Daphnia pulex: one gene and its partners. The protein of the gene in region 3 interacts with the protein of the main gene of each other region in a pairwise test. Links are inferred from orthologs where the notes say so. Each region holds a gene or a part of one and is shown on either strand. Other genes may lie near its edges. The genes, in order: ecotropic viral integration site 5 ortholog-like, protein bicaudal D-like, ras-related protein Rab6, golgin subfamily A member 1-like, GRIP and coiled-coil domain-containing protein 1-like and TATA element modulatory factor-like.

Region 1 (2,658 bases), on a different chromosome or scaffold from region 3:
ATGGTGATGTGGTAGGTTCCATCTCTAGGGACGACTGCCTAGAATAGTTCTATCGATCCCGGAAGGGAAAAAGAAAAGGGGGGAGAGAAAAAAAGGAGTATTAATTGAAAGGCGAATAAAGTGAGTGAGATGGATGAGATGAAAACCTCTTGTTCCATGTGTTTGAGACGCTGCTGGAGCTCACGCAGGTGAGCAGTGTTCTCAGCGTCACGTTGCCTGGACGCTTCCAGTTCACGTTTCAAGTGGAAAGTTGTTTCTTCCTGGTCAGCTCGACTGACTTGGCCGCGTACCAGCCGTTCGGCCAGCTCACTTGACTCCGTTTCCAGCATGGAGACTTTCTGGCGAAGCATACGGTTCTCGGCTCTCAGCCTCTGTCGAATGGGAACCAATGAGAAAAGCCACATGCGTGAATTCCCGCGTCGGCATCTCAAGTAATCCACAAATAAAATATAATAATACCCGGACTTCTTCCTGATCCTCTTGCTCCTTCGTCTTGAGAGCTGTGTATTCCTTTTCCCACTTTTTCATGCGCTTGGCGCTATATTTGACGTTGTAGGCGGCGACAAAAAGAGGATCTGGGCACGGATCAAAACGGGCCGGCACTTCCTTTTGAAAATACTGCCGAAAACCAAATCAAAATGACACAAGAAAAATAAAAGATTATAATCCTGTTATCTACTAAAATGAACAAAACGAAAGAAAAATACCTTGAGCATCCCCTCCATATCCTGAGAGAGAAGGTCTTCTTTGCCGAAGTTGAGAATGGCCACGGCCAACCGGAAAATAATTTCCATGCCATCAATCAAAAAGGCGTCCATCACCCTTGGTAACAGAAAAACCGAAAAAAAAGAAAAAGGAAAGAAACATGAATGAGCATTGTCGACATTTTCATGTTTTCCTCTCCGGTAGTTTAAATGCATTTGAACATGTTAGTCACGATGTTCTCCGACTGAAATAGCAGAGACCGGCCGGAATGCCGATAAAAAAGGAAAGAAAAAGGAAAGAAAAACTCAAAAGGAGGAAAAAGTTAGTCTCGGCTCGACTGAATTAGGAATTGGTGGGTGACTGTGTGCCGGCGACGCAATCGTACAAGGAGGAAAGAAATGGAAACAATAACAAACGACAACAATTCCGGAATAGTTGGCAAAGAACCCACATTTGTTTTCCCTTAAATACTTTCATTATTTCGGTTGCCCACAAAAGGGAAGATGAGAATTCCAGCCGACAGAATTTTCAAAGGTCCATGGCATACTTTTTTAGAAATATTGTTACTATGACTGGGTAGGATGTGGGGGCGTAGGAGATTTCCATATTGGCGTGGGTGGACTGCTGCTGCTGGAAAATGACTTTCCAGAAACGGTCAACCCCCCATTTTAGCTCGGCAGTTGGCACACAACGTCAAACAACTGGGTTTCTAGGTAATTTCTGTGTGCATTTGTATTGTTATATTACCTGCAAGCCACCGAAAGGGTCAACGTGGTGCTGAATAGGGTGAGGAACCAGCTGCTGGCGTACATGCTCGTGTCGAAACTCTGTGACAGGAAGTGGGCGTGGAGATCGGGCAACAATTCCTGCCATCACAACCAAAAACCACAACAAAGACCACGGAAATCAAGATCATTTTCTAGCATTCAAAATGTATGATAATTTTAGCGAGTTACCTCGACGAGATTCTTGAGTTGATACAAAACCAAACCCAACTCGGCCATGGAAGGTTTGAAAATCTCCCGCAATCGATATTCCTGCATCAATTTGACCACGACCGCAAAAGCTTCTTCTTCGGGCATCTATTCATTCGAAAATTGAGACAACAGAGCGTGAGCATTATCAAATCTTAATAGAATTTAAATAATAATCAAAAGAAAAAGAAAGAAAAAAGTAGCCAAAAAATGGGGGGGGGGGGGAAACATGACCAACTACACCACCATCCCCTTACGACGGTTGATAGCCTGCGCGTTCCTACATCTTTCATTATTTTTGAATGAAACGATCTATGGAAAGGCATTCCTTCACGGCATAGTGGGCGTGAGTGAATGATGGATGGTGATTATCCACTACTCTACCAACTACCAAGGCGATGATCTTTTCCCTTTTTTTTATAATATTTACTTCTTTCTTTCTTTCCTTTTCTACCACCGGATTGTCTATATGTACTGTACCTGCATGAGGAGGATGCCAACGATGAAAGCAGATCCCTGGCAGTAGCCCACCTCACGGTCATGCAACGAGTAGGCTTTCATGACGTTGAAGAGACTTTCCTGGCCCAGGCCATCTTTCTCTTTGAAGAAGTCGTGTTCGGGGTACGTGCGCGCTATGTCGCGACGGATGACCTATCATACATTTTTTGTTCAGGAAGGATGTGTTATATTATTATCATACCATCCACAGATCCATCACCGGATTGAAGAGATGATGAAAGAAAGAAGAAAAAAAAGGATGGAAACCTTTTCACAGGCGGATGTGGCTTTGATATACTCGGCGTATTGCGACTTGGCCGGCGAGTCATTGGCGCCGCACAGCAGTGGCCAGACGACGCCTCTGAAATGATGCGGGATCCCTTTGCGGACGAGGTCCTTGACGTAGGCATTTCGCTTCTTGTACGTATTGGCCCAGTCGGCCACCAGACGGCCCCAAAGGCTCCACTGATCCTCTTCGTTG
Region 2 (4,290 bases), on a different chromosome or scaffold from region 3:
GTAGAGTGGCAATTTGCTCTCTTTTGGTTGAGAGCAAAGCTGAAGCAAAAACAAAGTTTCCCGTTACACTTGATAATCCTAATAATACTTTTTGACAATAATATACCTTTGAGCTTAACAATTTGTTCTTGGAGTTCAGCGACATCTGACTCGAAGTTGTCTCGATCCTTGTCTGATACCAAGTCGTTGGGTGTGTCTTTGGTGTGGCTTTGTTTGACCAGCATTTCAGCAGCTCGGCGCAACAGACGAACTTGCTCTTGAAGCATGTGCAAGAGTCGAGTAGGATTTTGAAGAGAAGTGACTGTAACACTGGATTCTGGTGAGATGTTCTCCTTATTGTATTCGGAACCGATAGAGGTTGGTCCAGCGACATCCGAAGCTAAGCTACTAGGTCCACTGCCAGCATCTATTGTAGTTGTTGAATCTTAAGTCAATATTCAAAAGCAAATTCATTTTAACTAAGTTCTACTTACCAGTTGAGCTCCGGATAATTCCTGCATGGGACCCTGATCCTGCCTGAATGCCTACGGCAGCACACAGATGTAGCGTAAGGGCAGTGATGTCATCTACAAGAGGAGATAGTTCAGACTGAAGTGCTACCAATGTAGCTCGACTATCACCAGCCGACTCGGAGGAGGCCGCAATTTCAGAGTGAAGAACTGACACTTTTTGCTCTGTATCTAACAACTACACGAAAAGGTGAGTAAATGTCTAATTAAAAAGGTATTACAAAAATTACCCTCTTCTTCAACGCGATGAAATCTTGTTCCATATCAGTTGGTAGTTGACCGGTAGATGCTCCTCGGAGAGCCCATAATTCTTGTTGAGCTTGCTGAAGTTCCCTAACAGCCAGCGCGGTACGATGCTTGAATTTATCAACCAATTGCTGAAGATACGTAGACTTGCCAGGAGCAGAAGACGGCTCTGATGGTGTCCGATCAATTTCCTACGAAAAACAAAAAATAATCATTTGAAACCTTAAAAAAAAATCAGAAAAAATAGAAAATAGCTTTACCGAAGCATTAGTAGGAGTTTCCACAGTTTCGTGAAGGTGAAGTAGGCTAGCCAAATACGCATCCAGTTTGGCCAGTTGAACATGTCTGGATGCTGCTTCGTGTCGGGCAACATCGGAGGAATCTTGGGCATCTCGTAGACGTTGAAACAACATCCCTTTTTCCGCTTCGACTTGTTCTAGCTGTCTTTCTAGTTTCTTGACTTCGTTCAAGTGAATTTCACTAAACAAATCTCCACCACCCTTGTTGTTCCCATCGCCCCCTTCTGTCCCGTCATTGGTTACACCACCAGTTTTCAGGAATGAGGCTTCAAGTTTTTGCAACAGTGGACCGTCGTCTTCACCTTCACTTGCCCCATGTTCTTCAGATAGTCCTTTAATACAAAAAAGGAAATGACAGAAACATAAATTAAATAAAAATTGGTTTCACAATTACCTTTAATGCTGAATGCTAAATTGCTCAAATTGAACATGGATTCACTAGTCATTCTTGCATCAAGATCTTTCTTGATAGCATATTTGGCTTCTCTTTCAGCTTGTAGGGCATCTAATGCTTCTTCCATCTGTTTTTCAGCTAATTTTCGCAAATGCGCCAACTCTGCATTTTGTTGATTGAGCAGCTCGAGTTCTTCTTGCAATCGACGTAGTTCATGTTTGTCTCCCTCTAGTTCAACCTAGCCAAAAATATTTGGTTAAATGGAATACTGGAAGGAAAATCATTTTCAACATTACCTGAGAAGACCTCAACACAGACACTTGCTTTTGAAGACTGATGTTTTCTTCCTCCAACTCTGAGTAATCACTAAGAAGGCGGGTCTCTCTGTATTTGAGTTCTTTCAATTCAGCTTTTAAAGTTTTTCGTTCAAAAATGTAGACTTCCCTCTCTTTCCCAGTATCATTTAACTAATTCAAAAGTGAATAAAATATAATTACACAAGTGAGACTTGCATATTATTTTACTTTACTTGTTGAGTGAGTTGGTCTCTTTCAGCTGTCACCCTTTCCAGTTCAAGGCGCAAATGCTTTGTGTCAGCTTCAAGATCAAGGATTTGAGAGTTGAGAGATGTTTCTCTTGCAGCTGATTCATATAAAAGAGATTCTTCGGTTTCTATGCCACTCTTGGTTGTAACCTTGTGACTATTCTGGAAGCGAGCAAGTGCCTGTATACATAATGTTACATCAAATTATTAAGACATATCAAGAAAAAATATCTGATGTATAAAACATAAGAACTCAATGTAGAGTAACTAAACAGATATACAGGGTGATAGCACAAGGTATGTGATGGTGCAATCCATTTAAATAAAAAGCATAGAAGGTTACCTCACGGGTTAATGCCAACTCATGTCGAGCGTTCTCAAAGAGACTTTCAAGTTCTTCACATCTGTGTTGAAGATTTTCTTTCTCTTCCAGTAAAACAATCCCATATTGAGCGGACTGGATTTTTTCACTGTTCGTCTGGTCCAGCTCTCTCGTCAACCGTTCGATTTCCAAGTTTAAAATTTCTACGTTACCCACTTCCATTTTATGGTATCAATTAAAACGAGTGCTTAACCAGTGCTTAATAAGGAGGGAAATTGTAACAGTTAAAAACGATGGGTGCAGCGAAAATAAACGAGAGGTTTCACGAGGATTGGTGAAGGACGGTAGCCATGAGTGAAACTGTCAAGACCAGACCCTGCAAAAAATGAACTGAACAGCTGACCACATATGCCCTCAAAAGAAAGGCATGGTAACCAGGAAAAACTTTAACAAAAATAATAATCTATTAAAAATATGAATCTCTCGTTATTTTAACTTGAAAAAAAATTTGTTTTAAAAATAGACTTATTTTATGATTTTTAGTGTCAGTCGTGAAACGTTTTGAGAAATCACAACAAAGTAGCGAGGAGGTGTGGCAACCAAGAGTAAATAGTTCGTCTGTTCTGATTGCGAATATTTTGATACTTTTTCAAATTTACAAGGTATTGGTGTATTGTTCTTCTCATTGGAGCTTTTAGCTAATTAAGTATTTGTTTCATTAATAAAAAAACTCTGGTGATTAGTTTTATAATCCACTATAGCCTAGTTGTATCAGTCAATATTTATTGTGTTTTGGTAAATTGCAGATGATCGTCCTGAGAACCTGATTGCCGGTCGTTTTGTAATCTTAAAAAACAAATACGAGCTCTGAATACGAGTAGGAATGTCATCAGATGAAGAAGCGCGAGTCTGGTTAAGAGAACACTTTCTGCGAACACTAACCAAACTCAATGGTAATCAAAGCTTTATATAACATAACCCAATTGTATTTTAACTGTTATTTATTCTATTTATAGGAGTGGAAGCTGTTTTCACTATGCATGAAAATATTACAGTTACTGGTCAATATGAATGCTCCAGTGCTGATTTAAAATATTTTCATGTCTCTGGCCTAAAAACTCCTTTGGGGAACTGTAAACAATCTCTTTTGAGATCTAGTGATGTAATCAGCATTGATTTCAAAACACCTTCCAGTCTATTCCCTTTACCAGTTTCAACTACTGTTTCCAAAGATTGTTTACAGAGTCAATAAATTTGTTTGGTTCAACAGTTGTTTTGTCATTCTTTAGAAATTGGAAGTGCTTTTGCTTTCTTCTCTAGTCTTTCAGGTTCTTGGCTTGCTTCTTATTTTAAAATTCAAGCCTATTAAGAACTGACAATTGACAAATAAGAAAAAATTTCTGCTTAACGTGCGAATTGTATTACATAATCAATAACAAATAACCCTTAAAATTTAGTCAGAATTTTTTAAAATTTTAAATAATGAAGGAAGAAAAATTATGGTCAGAAAAGGCTTCAGCATCGGTAGTTCACAACGGTATGTCAAAAATTGATTTTCGTCTGCTCATTAGTCCACTAGCTTTTCTGTTAGTGTTACTTGGCCACGTGCGCTGTTGAACATTCGTCACCAAGCAGTTTTAAAATGAAGAAACAATTACGTATGTTATTTATCATTCACTTTATGTATTCGCACTTATTCGAGAGTTTTTTTCTTTTGTATAATCCTAAGAATATCAAATATATTTTCCTTTTTAAATTCTCTAGGCGCTAAAAGTCACCGATTGCCTCTCAGGAGGAAGTATACTATCCTTAAAAAGATCAAGGAACACAAGAGAAAGGTTAATCGTGATTTGAGAAGAAATCCAGAAAAGAAACGCAAGCCTCGTACAGATCGTGGGGTGCCAAATTCATGTCCTTTTAAGGAGGAAATTCTTTTGGATATGGAGAAACTAAAACAAATTAAAGAAAGAGAGCAA
Region 3 (4,060 bases):
GCGCAATTGGCTGGAAGGGGGGGGAGGACGTCATGAACTTAGAGAAAATGTGACAAAACGTGAATTTTTTTTCTTTTACTTAATGATTACGAACTAGAAAGTAACAAATTGTAAAATGATAGCGTTTTCTAATTTGTGTTGAAAATAATATTGGACGATAATACGTGCAGTTTTTGCATAACCGTCGAGTCTGAACGGTACACCGGAAACCTTAATAGGTAAAGCTAATTTAAAAATTAAAAAAAAAAATCCCAAGTCACGACATTCCATTAGGAGAAGGAACATGGAAAAAGTTAAACTGCGAGCCAATCATTTGTGTGAAGAAAAAAGTTAAAAACTGATGACATTTTCGAGAGATTTTGGACTGTACAATGACGGTCGATTGAGCCCTTTCTTGGATGGTATTCATTTGTTTTCCTTTTAAGTTTGGTTGCTCTTTTTCTTTCCTTTGATTTTAATCATTAGCAGGAACATCCACCTTCTTGGTCTGTAGCCAGGTGATTCGCGTTGGTTGATGGGCGGAGGTCGACAGCTAATTGGAGGGGGTAATTGAATGATTTTGTAAGTTTGATTTCATTGGACCACAGAACAATTAAAGATATAAATTAAAGAACGCACACCACAAAAGATACCACTAAACGAAAAATACTGAGAAAAGCAAAATTGTTGTCTAATTGGGAGGAAAGAAAAGCAAGCGGTGTATTAAGATGATTTGATGATCCACACACAACATTATCAGGACAAAAGTTCAGGTGAGTGCCACGTTGAAACGTGACGTAAACAGAATCAAACATGCCATTCATTTGTTTGAAAGAAAGAAATATAAGTATAGAGGGTGTAAGAGAAAAAACGCATTCCAGCGGGTTTGGAAAAACAAAGAATCTCTTTTTAATTAGCATTATTTGATATTAATGAATTAAATAACTTGAAAAACATTTCGGAAGACCCAATTATTGGATAAAAACTAGTGAAGACCAAAGTAATGAAATAAACGAAGGATTCAAAATTTAAGAGTGCTTCTGATGATGATAGGGGCTGTATAACGATATAAGCACTCGAGATGTAAAGCTACCATTTGTTTTACTTTTCTTTTGTTTTTCGTTCGTTACCAACCAGAAAAATTATTCTGAAATTTCATTCCGCCAATTTAATGTTCTCAAACCGTCCCTTATATTTTTAGCAAAAACACTAAACGGTATGGATGAAAATTGACGATAAATATGTTTTGTTGTATCGCTATCTCTTGCTCATATAAGACGAGAAAGCAGGCAAAACTATTGCTCTTAATGTTTGAATAAAGTCGTGTAACGACGAAGAAAAGTAATGATTTTAGGAGGGAGGAAAGGAGGATTTCTTATTGTTTGTTTAACATGCACAGCCGCCCTCTGCAGGTTTCAGCTCCACCGGTGCGTTATTCAAATCGATCTCCGTGACTAAGAGGACACAAAAAACGAATTAAGGAAAACAACAACAAAAAAAAACATATTCAACTTAAAAAAAGTCGTAGAAAGAAAAAGCATCCTGAAACACCAAATGAATCAAAGCGACATGCAAAACAAGTTTAGGAGATAAAATAAACAGGAACTATGGACACCGAAAGGAGAGGGGTCTTATAGAAGAGAAATACTAGTAATGCTCGGCTATAGAAAAAAAAGTTCTTACTGTCTTCTGGAGGTTTCTTATCAGCTTCCATACCGGGAAGTGCGGCGGCTACGCGTCGGAAAAGCTGCGGGAAGAAGGAAGAATGAAACAAAATTGTGCGAAACAAGTTTCGTGGATCGTGACAAAAAAATGGAATTTGTCCTACAAACCTGTTTAACGTTGTAGCCAGCTTTAGCGCTTGTTTCAATAAACATAACGTTAAGCTCCCTCGCCTTTCGTTCTCCTTCCTCGGTAGAAACCTGGAAAAGTAATCATTTCCACTATGACGTAGGAAGTTTAAAATGCTACTTGCACTAGTGATGACTGACCTGCCGCTTGTCTGAGAGATCTGTTTTGTTTCCAACCAACATAATTATCACATCACTCCCTCTTTCTGTTCTCACATCATCAATCCACTTGGATGTCTGATGGAAGGAATTTGCATCTAAACAGGATAACAAAAAATTATTGTAATTTGATGGTAATTCAAAAACTGTGGTTTGATTTCTTACTTGTTATGTCGTAAACCACCACAGCTACTGTAGAGTCACGGATGTATGAAGGTATAAGGCTGCGAAATCTCTCCTGTCCTGCGGTATCCCACAGCTGCAACCTAACCTGAATTTGGACAGCATTAGTCATTGGGATTGCAAAATAGTTATGCATGATGAAATTTTTACTTACAGTTCTGTCTTCTAAGTACATTGTTTTAGACAAGAAATCTATTCCAATAGTGGCTTGATAAGTATTGTCAAAACTGTCGTACATGAACCTCGTAATCAGTGATGTCTTTCCAACTGTAAAAATAAAATAAAATTTAACAGAAGATTCTAAATAACAGAAATCCGGCATTAAGAATATTCTATAAAAGCAGTAAAAGGTTAATGACCAGACTGTTCGCCGAGAAACACCAGCTTGAATTTCCGAAGCGGATTGGAGAACTCATTGGAAGTCGTCATCTTGAAAAGATAAACGCAAATTTCCCTTATTTAGATGGCCAACCAATTCGGCCTCTAATTTCAGAGATCGAGTAAACAAATAAATTCTTGAGATGGCCAAATATTATTTGCCGAATCAGTAATAAGCCAACACACCCCAATATGACAGTTCGCTCACTGTCCACGTATCAATTGGTCTCTTTAGTTTGCCGTGCTACTGCTCTGCAGGGACCAAAACGTGCGTTGCCATTCTGTAATTCACAACTTTTTACACCTTTGTTTGCTCATTGTGAATATATTTTACGGCGTAAAATTTAAACATAATAGCTAGTAAATTAAGTAATTTATTTTTTGAAAATTATTCATTTAATTCAATAAGAAATGAATGCAAATGCTGAAATCGATTAAATTCGAAAAACAACCCCAAAACGGTTTTGTGACGTAAAATTTCATGGCCACGAAAATTACATAAACTTGATTAATATGAAAATTAAACGTTACATGGGTTAGTGTTGTATGCACCGTATGCAAAAATAATTATTAAACTTCTTTTTTTGTCGAACTCGAAGAGGGCGCTGTAAAGCATTGAGTGCCGTGCTAAAAACTGTTTTCCGTTCAGTCGTTCCTTCTGCTCATCTGCTGCTATTGCAGTAAGGATTCTTTCACTAACAGAATTTCCTGAAAGTACTGACTAAATTAACATCAATAGTTTAATTGTGTCATTTCTCAACTTTTTGACGTGGAGTTAACCTTGTGAGAATAAAGCTGTTGTTGCACGTAACGGTCACTTTGTATAAGTAACAAAAACGTGTCGGTTTCGTTGTGTCGGATGATGTCGAGCATGTGATTTTTCTCGTAACATTCAAGACTTCTAGATTTTGGCTTACAGCTCGAGAGAGTTGCCGGAAATCGGTTCTATATGAGTCAGCCGACCGGGAAATTGATTGGAGTCAAGCGAAAGCATAGTGACGAAAATCAGGTGGAGGCAAAAAAGCCTACCATGGAGGAGGCAAAGAGGGCCAACTTCTCTGCCTTGGTCAGCACGAATGGGTTGACGAAATCATCTCCAACAGTAGTCAAACCAGCTGCTGGAAATGTCAAGAAAATTGTCATCAAGTCTATGAAAGAACTCCCCAAATTGCCTGAGAATTACCAGGTTATTTATTCAATTTGAAATTAAATTCTCGATACATCTGACTGTTGAACTTTTTTTTGCAGGATGTTGCTTGGCAGAAGCTGGAAGAAGCTGTTGTTGCTATACAGAATTCAACCTCAATTAAATCAGCCCTAGAGGACTTGTATCAGGCTGTGCAAAACCTTTGCAGCCATAGTTTTGCCCCCCTTGTGTACAGCAAGTTAAAAAACTTGACAGGTTTGTTGCGAAATGGCATTTTCGAAAGTAATAGTATCTTAATAATTTGTTTTTTCTAAAATCTATTACAGAATCGCACGTTCAATCAAACCTAGCACAGTTTTTGGCT
Region 4 (4,005 bases), on a different chromosome or scaffold from region 3:
ATTTAAAGGTTACAACAAGAGTAATATTAATAGTATGCTTACCAAAAAAACTGAACCTGGTATTGCAAATGTTTGCTTGTACAAATAAGCACTACAGAACAGAATGTAAACATAGAGAGGATGAAACTTTTGAAATTCAAGCAATGTTCCTGTTAAAGACTTTAATTCTTCAAGGTTGCTTGGAAACTTGATCATGTCCTGGAAAAGGGTTTTCATACTGTAAAATATTTTAATTTCATTATGTTGAAAATTATCTAACCTTAAAGTTTTGAATGGCAACAGAATCAGGTACAAAAAAAGTTGTCATAAGAAGTAACCAACTAGTGGCTGCAAGCCAAATCACTGGTAAATATAACAAACTACCCATTACACTAATAAAAGTTACTAAATACTAACACAAAAATCTTGTTTTTTCCTTCAGTAGGCTACTGTCTTCAACGAGCTGTCCCGCACTGTCCCGAGGCCGAAGCTTTCGATCAATTACTTCCTTGTTCCTTCTGCTTGAATGAAAACAATGCGATGTCAGTGACATCTATGATAGTATGATCTAAGCGAGAACACTTCCGCATATTTTCAATAGTTTTTTTTTTTTTTTTTTTTTTTTTTTAACGGCGATAGATCCGGATCGGTCACGATAGGAATAAGGAAAGAAATTTAGAGCGGGCAAGATGGACTCCTACCTCCATCAGATGGAGGTAGGATAGTACTCGGGTGCAGTGCGATTTCTAAAACAAACACGAACAAAAACGAAATTAAGATGATGATGATGACTCTCATACTAATAACTTTGAATTGCTAGTATAGAGAAATTCTGAGCGAGATAGGATTTCGTTCCGTCTGTTGGTCACGAATTTTTTAGTAATTCAAATCTGATCTTTTGCTGTGCGTGTGAGTTTATTTCCTGAATTCCCTCCTCAAGTACCGACGACTACCTAATACTTACCCATTTTAAATGTTTTGACATCTAAATTTATGGTGGAGGGGTCACTTAGAAGAAAAAAGAACGCAGACATACGGATGAAGTTCATTTTACGCTTTGGCCATTTGAACCGCACTCGAATTTTTGCACAGATCTTTTTACAATCTTTTTACTCTGAGAGGACAGCGCCATGTTAGTTTCGTCTGCGATCTAGAATCCTAATGAGAAAATTTTGTTGGAAAAAGAGTTTTGTCTATAACGTCTTGAACAAATTTCACGAATGCAAGGAATACGTGCTGTTGTATATTGTTAGTGCATAGGATAATAGTGACGTTCATGCGTTTATGTCCTACACTCCTACTGTTGTTTTTCACTACGTGGCGTATTATTGCAGTTAAAATAGGCGGGGCTTTTTATGTTTTATGGTTGCTGTTTAATCATTTGATTTTGTTGTCTGCTATTTATTAGTACAAAAAGTAAAACATCACGAAAACCGTTAAGTGCCAAGATGTTTGCGAAATTAAAGAAAAAAGTTGAAGATCTTGAAGGATCTGATTTACATAAATTAGCAAATTCTATAAGTTTCTCAAATATCAGTGGAGCTCCTGAAAAATCTCCTTCGTCTAATTCAATTAAGTCTCACGATAACTTTGCTTCAACATCCCAGTCTCAAAAGGGATCAACTACGAGCTTATCCTCAATGGCAGGAACTTCGAAAAATGATGAAGCTGATGCCAATATGGCAGCAGAAAAGAAATGGAGGCAAAGATTAGTTGAAATAGAGAATGAGTGGAGAGTGAAGGTTATGGTGCAAGAACATGAGAAGGAGCAGGTTGCTAAAGATCGTGACATGCTTGGACAGCAGAAAAGAAAAATGGAAGAAGAAATTAAGGAACTAAAAAGTATGTAGATGGTCTGTCACATTTAAAAAAACTTTTACATTCATACTTTTTTTCATCTTCAGGTTATCAAGATAAATATCTGAAAGCAGAGGAAAACCTTAAATCGTTGCAGGAATCAAATAAACGAGAGTCAGCTTCCCTTCAGCTTTTGGTACATGGTCCTTCATACATATTATTAACAGTTAACGGTTTCAAGTTAACATTTTAATTTTAACATTTCAGTTGTCAAATGCAAGTGTTGAAGTTGAAGACATGAAAACCAAAGATGATTTACTTCAAAAAGAACTGAATAAAAAAGATGAAATGGTGAAAATGCTTCAGGTTCAACTACGACTCAATGAGGAAATGCACCACAACACCCAAAGCTCAGATTCAGAGGTAAACAGTCAAGAACCCAATATCGATCGAATAGAACGAGAAAATCTCCTTCAGAAACAAACAGAAACGGAAGAAAGGTTGAAGGCACTTGAAGAAACTTTGGTAAGATTGAATTGAGTTTTCCCTAGACTTTGCAAGTGCATTTGTCAATTTGAATTTCATGTCCAGGTTGCAAAAGATGGCGAGCTTCAGCGGTTACAAAGGCATTTCGATCAAGGGAAATCAACTCTTGAAACCATGACGCAAAATTGGCAGGATGAAAAAACGCATAATTTAAGTTTGAAAGATAAAATAGCTCAGCTCTCGGAAGAAAAAGATCATTTCGTTGTGCGGAATGCAGAACTATCTCAGCAAGTGTCACTGAGTCAACAGCAATTGCAGCGGACTGAGAAGGAATTGCGAGAGCTTCAGGATAAATTTAGCGACACGGAAAGGGAGAACCAACAAATTAAACTCCTTTTGTCAGACGCCGAAGCCCGGGACGAGAACTCTGAGAGAACGTGCAAATTGCGATCCCAAATTGTCGAATTGGAAGCCGCATTTTCAGAGAAGAACAAAACGATTAAATTACAGCAACAGCGATTGAGCGACATGAAAAAGACTCTGCAGAAAGAACTGAAGAATCAAAATAATGATCCCGACAGTCTTTCGGTGCCGACATCCGCGTCTTCCTCTACCGCTCCTAAAAGTCCCGTTCTACCCAAAGCCCCTCAACCTGCCAAGAATGAAATGGATGAAGTAAACTTTAAATATTTAAAGCACGTCATATTCAAATTTTTAACGAGTCGGGAATACGAGGTAACAATTGCTTTATCGTCTTTAATTAAATTGATTTTTTAATTAATTTTATTTATTGTGCGGCTGGGTGTAGGCTCAGCATTTAACGCGGGCCGTTTCAACGTTGCTCAAGTTGACGCCAGATGAAGAGAAACTGCTGAAAGAAACGCTGGAGTGGAAAATGTCTTGGTTTCGATCACGGCCGGACTTGGGAACCGGCCAAGGCGCTATGTACATTCCACCAACGCACTGAAGCAGAAGCACACCATCTCAGATTGCTTCTTGTTGTTTGATTTTCTTTTTCCTCCAACTATTTTAAGTTCGAGCCGCAGTTTAACAGCTGATTTGCTCCAAAGAATCTTAACATTGTACAGAATTCCTTTTCGACTTGATGTCGTTCGAACGCTCTACACGTTGCCTCCTTTGGGCCTGTCTGGATACTGCAGCTATAGTGAAATCATGTAATAATGGCTTTTTTTTTTATTTAAAAAAAAATAATAATAATATTCCATTTCAATGTTTAATCATAGCCACGTGTTGTTTTCCCATAAATCTCCTCTATGCCTTAATTAATGGAACCTTTCAAACTGAAGTAATCAGTCCTCGCTTTTGATATTATTAGTAGGGGCGACGTAATTAGCTTTGGAATCGATTGTCAGGAGGAAAATGTAAATCCCGACGGGTTCATAAATCTTCTCGGTTTCTGTTTGGGTGGACGGGAGCTGCAATGTTTGCGACTTTAGGCGTTGATTGGTGTGTACTTAGAGAGCGAGCGAGCGATCCAAGATGGGTAATGGACTAGAAATAAAAAAAGGGAAAAACTAATATCGAAAAAAAAGGTATCCCGGCAATAGAAGGGAAATGTCTCGCGGGAAATATTTGGAAGGAAGAAGATGATTATATTATATGATGCGCATATTTATCCATCAAGTAATACAGTCGCAATATTACGCAATACCGTCGGTGAAAAATTTGCGCCTTTAACCGAAATCATTCAGAAACGTCATAGTGTTTTGCGCACAATGCGTA
Region 5 (4,122 bases), on a different chromosome or scaffold from region 3:
ATGCGGTAGAAATAAGAGTAGAACTACTACGTATATTTTTATGAATGCTGCGTTTCATACTTAAGAATTTATGAATCGTTAGTATATCAAAGAAGGAAACATCGAAAGGGATAAATATTGGATCATTTTCCTGTTTGTTCCAAACCTGTTTTTAAACAAGGCTTAGTTTGTTAGAAGACAACATTATTTTTTTTCTTCTTTTGACTTAACTTGTCCGCTAGTTATTATAAAGATAGCGACTTTAAGCCAACTTGAATTGCCTGATCGTCATCGTTTTTTGCACAATTGCACGGAGACTGAATTCATTATTATTTTATATCAAAGTTAAATTACTGCTTCCTAACCTTTTTTTTTAAATGGTAAAACTACTTTTATATTTGCAGATGCAGAGACAATCATCAATGATCACAGGAAAGGGGGGGAGACAGGTAGCCTACTTTTTCAGTGGTGTTATCACTTCTACAGTCTGTGGAGAGGGGACTTCATTATTAGTATGCATAAGCGCCGATGAAAGCAGAATTTCTATAGTAGTTAAATGGAATTTCATCTTGAATGTAAATTTAAAAAAATGGATAGCTTTAAAGTTCAACTTATTTTTAAATTTTCTGATTTTAACAGGAAAACGCAAAACTGCAGTTTTTTAGTCATTAAAGGAGCCTATTTACAGGAATAAAGGTCAGTCTAGAATATTAGATGTTTAATAAATTTTTATTTTTCAATGAAAAATCACACAGTGTTTACTTATTCTTTTTCTTTTGCTTGGATGCAGTAGTAACAACTTCTTTTTGTTCTGTTTTGGTGGTATCTACAGTAACCTCCTTACGAGGCTTCCTCCAGTTTAGACTCTTTCTGCGATACATGGGCCAGGGAGGTAGTGTGACAATCGCAGCAATTAGTACTCCAACTCCAAGGACCAAAATTGTCTGAGAAAATTGTTGGTTGATGTATCCTATAACCCAGCCAATAACCTAACAGCAGATTTTGAAATTGAAATTGTTATTCTGACAACCATAATCATAAAAATTCAAAACTTTACCCCAAAAACCACAACAATGATGTGCGATAACTTTTCGGCGAAATGCTGTCCTTCATAGTCCTAAGTAAAAAGTTTTTCGTTAAACAATTTATGAGGATTTTTCAAGTATAAATGCTAACCATGTGAGTATCAAAATTGAATGCCATTATGAAGCAAATTAACAGTTTTCAAGCAGTGGCTTTTTGACAGGTACACAACTACGAGAGGTGACGTGTAGCTAGCAGCCGCTGTGTATACACAGTTACAATACATTCCGCTAGGCGAAGTCAGCTGCTGCTTATGTGGTTAAACGAAAAAAACAATGTAGGTAAATAGAAGAAATTAAATAAATTAGCAGAAATGGATAGATTAACAAAAAAAGAGAAGGAATATAAAGAAGTAATTGAACAGCAAAAGGAACAGCTTGGTCGTTATGAGAAGAAATTGAGGGGTAGGTTTAATTTTATTTAAATATTTTGAAGTGTTTTAAGTTTGAATTCTACCATCACATTGTTTTTTAATATAATTTTAATTTCATTATTTTTGTGTGTTTCTTAGATGTTGTTCAAGCCTACAAAGGCATTCAAAAAGAAAAGGAAGCCTTGGAAGCAAGTTTAAAGGCTTTGGCTGAGGCCAAAAATTCAGCAGATGATGGAAATTCTGCAGAAAATATTTCTGGAATTGATTCATCTACATCTCTTGAAGGCATTAAGAATGACACAGAGGTATTATATAATTCATGAAATTTTTTTTTCTGAATCCTAATGGTTATAATTTACTAAATTAAGGATGGAGCTTCTGCAAATAAGGAAAGAGATACTCTTAGACTACTGAAAACCCAGTTGACTACTTTATCTGAGTCATTGGCAACCATAACTGCTGAAAAATCAAGAAGTGAAGCTAATTTCCAACAAGATCGCAAAAGACTTTTACTAGAAAAAGAGAGTGTAAGTTTACTAGTTGGTTGAATTTCATTAAATTATAAGAAAATCATGTGTAGGTTATTTTTTTCCTTTTTATAGTTGGAGAAAGCATTAGCAGGTGCCTGTAATCAGGCAGACATTGCCTCACAGTCATTTAAGCAGCAACTGTCTGAGCTTAAATCTAATCTTAGCACTGAAAAGGCTGAAAGAAGCAGAGAGTCAACAAATAATCAAGTGATTCTGAGGTGTGTGAATCAAGTGATTCTGTAACAAATCTCTCATCCAGTTTCATTTTTTTAAATAATATTTCATTTTCTGCAGAGAACTGCAGAAAACTATTGCAGAAGAGAGGCAAAAAAGAGAAAACCTTGAATCAGAACTCAATAGTAAATCTAGATTGTCACACCAAGCTAGCAACCAGTCTTCAAACCAACTGGAAGTTGCTGAAAGAAAGTAATGCCCTAATAAACTGTTGTTATGAAATATGTCATTTTAAATATTTATTTTTAAATGTTTTAGGTTTCGGGATCTCAGTAATGAACTTGAATCAACTAAAATGAAACTGTTTGCTGCCGAGCAAAAACTCCAACAGCCATCTCATTTGATGCAACTTCAGAACGAAATGGCTGATTTAAAGATACACCACCGATTGGCTATCCAGCAGGTAAAAATTTCGTCCAAACTGAAAGGTGATTATGATGTTTAACTTTACCTTATGAAATACAGGAACAGCGAAATGCGCTCGAGGCTAAGGAAGATGCGCGAAAGCTAGCCGAAGCTCATGAAAAGAGAGTTGCCAGTTTAGAAGCTCGCTTGGCGGAATTTTCCGAGCGGATCGGTTCCTATGACCGTTTACGACAACAAGACCTGTCCACTGTCTCGAAACTTAGGGTACGTATCACTATAATTATTATTTCGATGAGTATTTAAACTTTTTTGGTTATCAGGAGCAATTGAACACCATGCAAAGTGCACCAAGCCAAGCTTCCAATCACAACGAAGAAGAATATGACGTTCCAAAAATTATCGATAAAATAACTTCATTGAAAAATAGGTTAATGGAAGTCAACCGTCGGTCGAATGCAAACATTAATCTCGCTGGTAATTTGTTTAGTGGTGTTTCCTGATTTTTAAAAATTAGTAATTTTTCTTTTATTTCAATTTATAGCGATTTTTGAATTAGACAATGCCAGTTCAGACTCTGATCATCACGAAGCCTGTCAGTTGGAATTGCAGCAACTGAAACATGAACTTGAATGGTACAAACGCGATGAAAAACCAGTCGACGTAAAAGCAGTTGCCGTAGCAGCTCACACTGAAGAAGAAGTCAATCAAATGCGTGTTCAAATCCAGTTCCTCCGCAGTGAAATGGAACACGGTGAAGAGGAGCATAAGGATTCGATGCGATCGATCCAAGAATCTTGGGCCAAAGAGCGTAGCGAGTGGAAGGATGAAATGGGCCAAATGGAACGCACGTGTCGTGTTCGTGTTGCCGATATGGAGCAACAGCTTCAAAAGCAAAGGGAGCGATCCCTGACGCTGTTGCAGGAAAAGGACGAAGAACTCGCCAGCCTCCGCGAATCGTTAAACTTGAAAAGCGGATCGGCTTTGTCTCCTGTCACTTCTAGTACTAAAACCAGCGACTCGAATGACGAGTGGCCTGAATCCTTGGCCCCTCTTGCCTCGATGACGTTAGGAGCTTCTGCCAGTGGTGGGCAAATTTTGCATTACGTGGAAGAACTAGCCCGGAAGGAGGGGGAGATTCTTGGTCTGCGTCGTTCCAAGAATCAGCTGGAAGCCTCTCTCCGTGAAATGCAAATGGCCTTTGTTACCATGGAGCATAAAGTTGCCGAGCAGAAACAGCATCTGCACGAAGAACTGGCTCGTTTGGAGCGCAATCAATCGCGTGAAGGCGCTAATTTGGAATACCTGAAAAACGTCCTTTTGGAGTTTTTTCTCCACTCTGATCCGTCCTCTCAGTCTCACATGTTCAACGCCATCGCCGCCTGCCTCCATTTTTCACCGAAAGAGATCCAGCGAGTGCGATCCCAGCATCCCAAATGGAAACTGAATTTGGTTTGATCCAGTCCTGCTGCATTTTATCCGCCAGCTATTCCTAGTAAGTTGGAAATCGCCTCTGCGGCAAATTTTCACTCTTTCCATTTCCAAGTGCCCTTGTATTAC
Region 6 (3,943 bases), on a different chromosome or scaffold from region 3:
CGTTGTACATCTTTTCAGATCTTTCTTCGGACAACCTTTGTGAGGTTAGTGCATGCTGCAGCGTATCAATCTGACGTATCAAAGGCTTGGTCGCAGTGGTTAATGCCTTATCACAGAAAATAAAACAAAGTTAACAAAATTAAATGTCATCATTCTTAATCAATATCGAGCTGTAATAAAAATTGTACCTGAGATAGTTCATCGCTACGAGATTCGGCTTCATGCAGCCTATGCATTAATCGCGAAACTTCGCTTTGTATCCGTTCTCGTTCTCTGAAAAATCAAATTTACAAATGATGACGCATTGAAATCAAAATTAAATGAGTTATGTACATTACCTTGAGCGATCACTGTCGACTTCGGCAAGTGACTGGGTCAGTTCTTGGCAACGCATTGTGAGCGCTTGTCTTTCTTCCTCAAACAAACGGCTGGATGTTTCATACTCTAACTGAAGGCGTTGACGCAAAGATACTTCAGCGCTGAGATTGCGCTCAGTTTCCGCAGAATCGCGAATGGCAGCAGTGGCTCTTTCTTCGAGAAGTTTTTGTTCTACCTCAGTGAACGCAGCTCGAAGAGTTTCCACTTCCGCAAGCTTTTCACGCATCATGACTTTATTGGCCAAAAGCTCCTTTTCTAATTGGCTATTAACCATCGCAGATTGTCGAACCTGCATAATTGAAACGTGTTTAGTGCCACAACATTTCATTCTCTAAAATTTATGCACTTCAGCTTACAGCTTCGATTTGGTTCCTCTCGAGTTCTTCTTTCGCGGACAAACACTTGTTCAAACGATCTACTTCACTTTTTAGTTCTTCATTTTGATCTCTAAATGACGGGGGAAAAAATGAACTTGTATTTTTACACGCAATTTGTTTAAATATTTACTTGAATTGTTTGCAACGGACTTCCTCCTCTTTTTCTTGCACTCGCAATTTCTTTATTATGTTTGATAATTGAAGATGTTGCTTGGATAGCTTTTCGCCTTCAAATCTTAGTTGTTCAATAGTTTCGTTTTTTTCTCGAAGTTCCTCTGTTAAACTGCCGTAAGATTCTTGGTTCTGTTGAATCTGTTCAAGTTTCTTGACTAGTGATTCACGCTCAGCCAATACCTGCTGATAGCGTTTTTCAATCGAAGATAACCTTATGGCAAACTCGTCCGATTGCCGACGAATGGTTTCACCCAAAGCCGTTCGCTCCTTTTCGTCATGGGCCAACTGTGATTTAGCACGTTCTACTTCTTCCGATAATGCGTAACATTTCCTGGTATATTCCAATAATTGGTTATCTCGGGCCTTTTGGTTAAAAAAATCAAGGGGATCATAAAAAAGACTGACAAAAATAGAAATGTATATAACATTGAAATACTTCAAGTATTTGATTCAGTTGAATGATTTGGCATTCTGTTTTGAGCGGGTCCGAATCTTGTCCAGTGGAAGTTGCGCTATCGTCACTAGAAGCTTCGGATGGCTTCCGACTATGAGTCTTTGACTCGCTTCTTGAACGGACGGGAGCTACGAGTTGTCTTATACCCGCTTGAGGACTTGCGATGATTTCGATATCCGACGAAGTGGTGGTCTCGATCTCGTCACCTGAGGCAGACGCCGAGGTCTCAGTCTTGATCGAATCCTTCATCGCTTCTGAAGATGTTGTTTTATTATTATTTCAACTTTCTTACTTTAATCAGATCTAAGAAGTTTAGAAAAGACGCCAGCGTACCCGACAGCATTGTTGAAACTTCATCTCTGTTTTGTGTGCGATGGTGGTTGGTTGTTTCTTCTCTGGCATCACTTTTGGTATCACTTTTCCAATCCATATCAGCCAAATCATTTTCAGGACTGATGACGGTAATGGAGCTGGAAACTGACATAGAGCTATGGTAACTTTCATTTACATTCGTTTCTTCTATAGAATCAGTCAGAACCACATGATCCAGCTAAATGACATGAAAATATAACAAAATACAATCAAATACTTCTTATTCCTGAACAACTTTATCATCTATTTATTTTCCTTACCTCATTGGGATTGCTTTTTTTTTCAAGGTCTCCTGCAGGAATGGATGTTTCAGTATGGGTGCTTAAATCTTTAGCTGTTGTTTGAAGTACATTTGAAACTGGGGCCTGAAAAACTGCTGCTATTAAACAAAATTACTTTATTATCAATCGAATGACTTGACACACACATGTTTAGTACTTTTTTGCTGATCTCTTTCAGACTTTGAGTCTGGTTCACTCACTACGACATCTTCTGAGCTTGTTCTGGTTTCATCAGGTGGATCATTTTCCTCTTTCACCAAATTGAAGGATTCAAAGAAGTGTCCAATAATTTCTTGAATGACAAATCATGCAACAGAACTTGTTATTAAATACATTCATCTATCATAGTAGGCAACTGAGATACATATACCATTTTCAATTGGTTTATTTCCAACAGCATCTGGATCTCTAATGTCAAGTGCTTTGTCTATGGTTTTTTGGGCTTCTTTTAGTGCATTTTTAGCCAAATTTGCAATGCTACTGGTATTGAGCCAGCTCATTTTCGATGTAGACGGTAGCCACGTCAGCAATAGCTTTCAGCTTTTAAACGACAAGCAAATATCCGAAAATTCCAAAAGTAATATCTCTCATAAGAATCTAATACAGAAAGCCCTATTTTTTAAATACTTGCCTCATAAACTATAATTGGGCCGTCATTAACACAAATCCAAAAAAACAAAACAATCAAAAGTTGTAATTTCTAGCAGACAAATGTCAGAAAGCTATTGCTTTTTGTATTGCATAACATGGTTGCTCAAAGCATTTATCTACCCTACTTTCGATCGAGTAAAATTTTCCAAAAAATAATTAGCATCGTCATCTATATGACTCTAATTTTCTAAAGAATTAATACAGATACTATGTCATCTTATAACTGGTTTTAAAAGCAATTTAAAATCTAGTCTGAACTCTGAAGGCAACGTGTGAAAGTACGCTCTACAGGAACGATATGGCAATGTTGAAGTTATCCATTTCTAAGACCGAGAAGTCCCATCAGAGTCTTTTCGCTTTGCCTTTGGTCAGTCCCCAAGTGGTAGAGAAACAATGGTAAAGACTAGCTCGTTTTCATCTAAAATTATCTTTTACATCCTGTATTTCTCAAATACTTTTTAGTAACGTGCTGATTTGGAGTGATTGTTGGATGTTTTTACTAATCGATGTATTGTAATACCTCTTTTTTCAGGGTATTGACATCAACCATAAGTACGACCGTAAAGTCGTCCGACGTGAACCGAGGTCTGAAGATGTCTATCTTCGACTTTTGGTGAAGGTAAGAATCATTGAAATTTTGTGTCATTGGACTATTTTGTAAAATCGTTTCGTTTACAGTTGTACAGGTTTTTGGCTCGTCGTACCAAGGCCAAGTTCAATCGCATCATTTTGAAGCGATTGTTTATGTCGAGGATCAACCGTCCACCACTGTCGGTGTCTCGCTTGTCAAGACATATGAAGAAAGCCGGAAGAGAAGGAAAGATTGCTGTTGTCGTCGGAACTTTGACAGATGATCCTAGGATCTTCAAAATCCCCAAGCTCACGGTAACTTTTTTAAAAAATTCATTTTGCAATATCGTGTCTTATGGTACATTCCTTCTTCAGGTGTGTGCTCTGCGTGCAACAGAGAGAGCTCGAGCTCGCATCTTGAAAGCTGGTGGTCATGTTTTGACTTTCGATCAGTTGGCCCTGCGTGCACCAACAGGCAAAAATACTATTCTTATCCAAGGGCGGCGCAAAGCTAGGGAAGCTAACAAACACTTCGGACCTGCTCCTGGTGTTCCTGGATCACACACTAAACCATTGGTTCGCTCTAAGGGACGGAAATTTGAACGTGCTCGTGGTCGTAGGTCATCTTGTGGTTACAAAAAGTAAATTTCTTCTTTCGAGAAGTTTTTGTATTGGTTATCAAAAGA

What was found.
Region 1: the proteins of ras-related protein Rab6 (region 3) and ecotropic viral integration site 5 ortholog-like interact in a two-hybrid assay, tested with the Drosophila melanogaster proteins (2 studies listed by BioGRID). The link is inferred for Daphnia pulex from reciprocal best matches to the Drosophila melanogaster genes Rab6 and Evi5.
Region 2: the proteins of ras-related protein Rab6 (region 3) and protein bicaudal D-like interact in a two-hybrid assay, tested with the Drosophila melanogaster proteins (3 studies listed by BioGRID). The link is inferred for Daphnia pulex from reciprocal best matches to the Drosophila melanogaster genes Rab6 and BicD.
Region 4: the proteins of ras-related protein Rab6 (region 3) and golgin subfamily A member 1-like interact in a two-hybrid assay, tested with the Drosophila melanogaster proteins (2 studies listed by BioGRID). The link is inferred for Daphnia pulex from reciprocal best matches to the Drosophila melanogaster genes Rab6 and Golgin97.
Region 5: the proteins of ras-related protein Rab6 (region 3) and GRIP and coiled-coil domain-containing protein 1-like interact in a two-hybrid assay, tested with the Drosophila melanogaster proteins (2 studies listed by BioGRID). The link is inferred for Daphnia pulex from reciprocal best matches to the Drosophila melanogaster genes Rab6 and GCC88.
Region 6: the proteins of ras-related protein Rab6 (region 3) and TATA element modulatory factor-like interact in a two-hybrid assay, tested with the Drosophila melanogaster proteins (2 studies listed by BioGRID). The link is inferred for Daphnia pulex from reciprocal best matches to the Drosophila melanogaster genes Rab6 and Tmf.

The regions. Positions count from the first base shown.
Region 1 is NC_060021.1:8,635,220-8,637,877, reverse strand, and holds part of ecotropic viral integration site 5 ortholog-like, read right to left. Parts: coding exon 2,445-2,658; intron 2,331-2,444; coding exon 2,160-2,330; intron 1,788-2,159; coding exon 1,662-1,787; intron 1,572-1,661; coding exon 1,453-1,571; intron 823-1,452; coding exon 708-822; intron 619-707; coding exon 460-618; intron 372-459; coding exon 147-371; intron 50-146; coding exon 1-49. UniProt on the Drosophila melanogaster protein: Functions as a GTPase-activating protein (GAP). During border cell migration in the ovary, acts as a GAP for Rab11 and is necessary for the maintenance of active receptor tyrosine kinases at the leading edge.
Region 2 is NC_060027.1:4,510,132-4,514,421, reverse strand, and holds the start of protein bicaudal D-like, read right to left. Parts: upstream 2,801-4,290; 5' UTR 2,537-2,800; coding exon 2,336-2,536; intron 2,173-2,335; coding exon 1,978-2,172; intron 1,916-1,977; coding exon 1,745-1,915; intron 1,687-1,744; coding exon 1,449-1,686; intron 1,387-1,448; coding exon 1,016-1,386; intron 947-1,015; coding exon 740-946; intron 688-739; coding exon 474-687; intron 407-473; coding exon 107-406; intron 40-106; coding exon 1-39. Other genes in the region: guanine nucleotide-binding protein-like 3 homolog, read left to right, coding at 3,957-3,972, 4,079-4,290. UniProt on the Drosophila melanogaster protein: This protein is essential for differentiation. It may play a role in localizing of Nanos (a maternal determinant) activity in oocytes. Functions redundantly with BicDR.
Region 3 is NC_060023.1:1,255,386-1,259,445, reverse strand, and holds the start of ras-related protein Rab6, read right to left. Parts: upstream 2,801-4,060; 5' UTR 2,601-2,800; coding exon 2,531-2,600; intron 2,439-2,530; coding exon 2,326-2,438; intron 2,260-2,325; coding exon 2,154-2,259; intron 2,087-2,153; coding exon 1,971-2,086; intron 1,902-1,970; coding exon 1,812-1,901; intron 1,727-1,811; coding exon 1,663-1,726; intron 1,434-1,662; coding exon of another isoform or gene 1,366-1,433; exon of another isoform or gene 675-1,365; intron 533-674; coding exon 462-532; 3' UTR 1-461. Other genes in the region: cullin-4A-like, read left to right, coding at 3,499-3,735, 3,798-3,951, 4,023-4,060. UniProt on the Drosophila melanogaster protein: Protein transport. Regulator of membrane traffic from the Golgi apparatus towards the endoplasmic reticulum (ER). Mediates membrane trafficking during egg chamber growth and organization, possibly upstream of exocyst component Sec5.
Region 4 is NC_060020.1:6,037,641-6,041,645, forward strand, and holds golgin subfamily A member 1-like, read left to right. Parts: upstream 1-1,272; 5' UTR 1,273-1,427; coding exon 1,428-1,821; intron 1,822-1,883; coding exon 1,884-1,972; intron 1,973-2,043; coding exon 2,044-2,301; intron 2,302-2,367; coding exon 2,368-2,997; intron 2,998-3,070; coding exon 3,071-3,229; 3' UTR 3,230-3,505; downstream 3,506-4,005. Other genes in the region: transmembrane protein 41A-A-like, read right to left, coding at 43-198, 260-367.
Region 5 is NC_060018.1:298,106-302,227, reverse strand, and holds the start of GRIP and coiled-coil domain-containing protein 1-like, read left to right. Parts: upstream 1-1,322; 5' UTR 1,323-1,375; coding exon 1,376-1,466; intron 1,467-1,573; coding exon 1,574-1,740; intron 1,741-1,803; coding exon 1,804-1,962; intron 1,963-2,037; coding exon 2,038-2,183; intron 2,184-2,259; coding exon 2,260-2,391; intron 2,392-2,457; coding exon 2,458-2,602; intron 2,603-2,664; coding exon 2,665-2,829; intron 2,830-2,885; coding exon 2,886-3,039; intron 3,040-3,106; coding exon 3,107-4,020; 3' UTR 4,021-4,122. Other genes in the region: signal peptidase complex subunit 1-like, read right to left, coding at 738-968, 1,037-1,096, 1,156-1,182.
Region 6 is NC_060017.1:4,092,872-4,096,814, reverse strand, and holds the start of TATA element modulatory factor-like, read right to left. Parts: upstream 2,801-3,943; 5' UTR 2,668-2,800; exon of another isoform or gene 2,577-2,667; 5' UTR 2,537-2,576; coding exon 2,407-2,536; intron 2,329-2,406; coding exon 2,194-2,328; intron 2,135-2,193; coding exon 2,016-2,134; intron 1,934-2,015; coding exon 1,717-1,933; intron 1,638-1,716; coding exon 1,366-1,637; intron 1,293-1,365; coding exon 886-1,292; intron 826-885; coding exon 735-825; intron 668-734; coding exon 339-667; intron 274-338; coding exon 189-273; intron 107-188; coding exon 1-106. Other genes in the region: 60S ribosomal protein L18-like, read left to right, coding at 3,081-3,083, 3,220-3,306, 3,366-3,572, 3,633-3,902.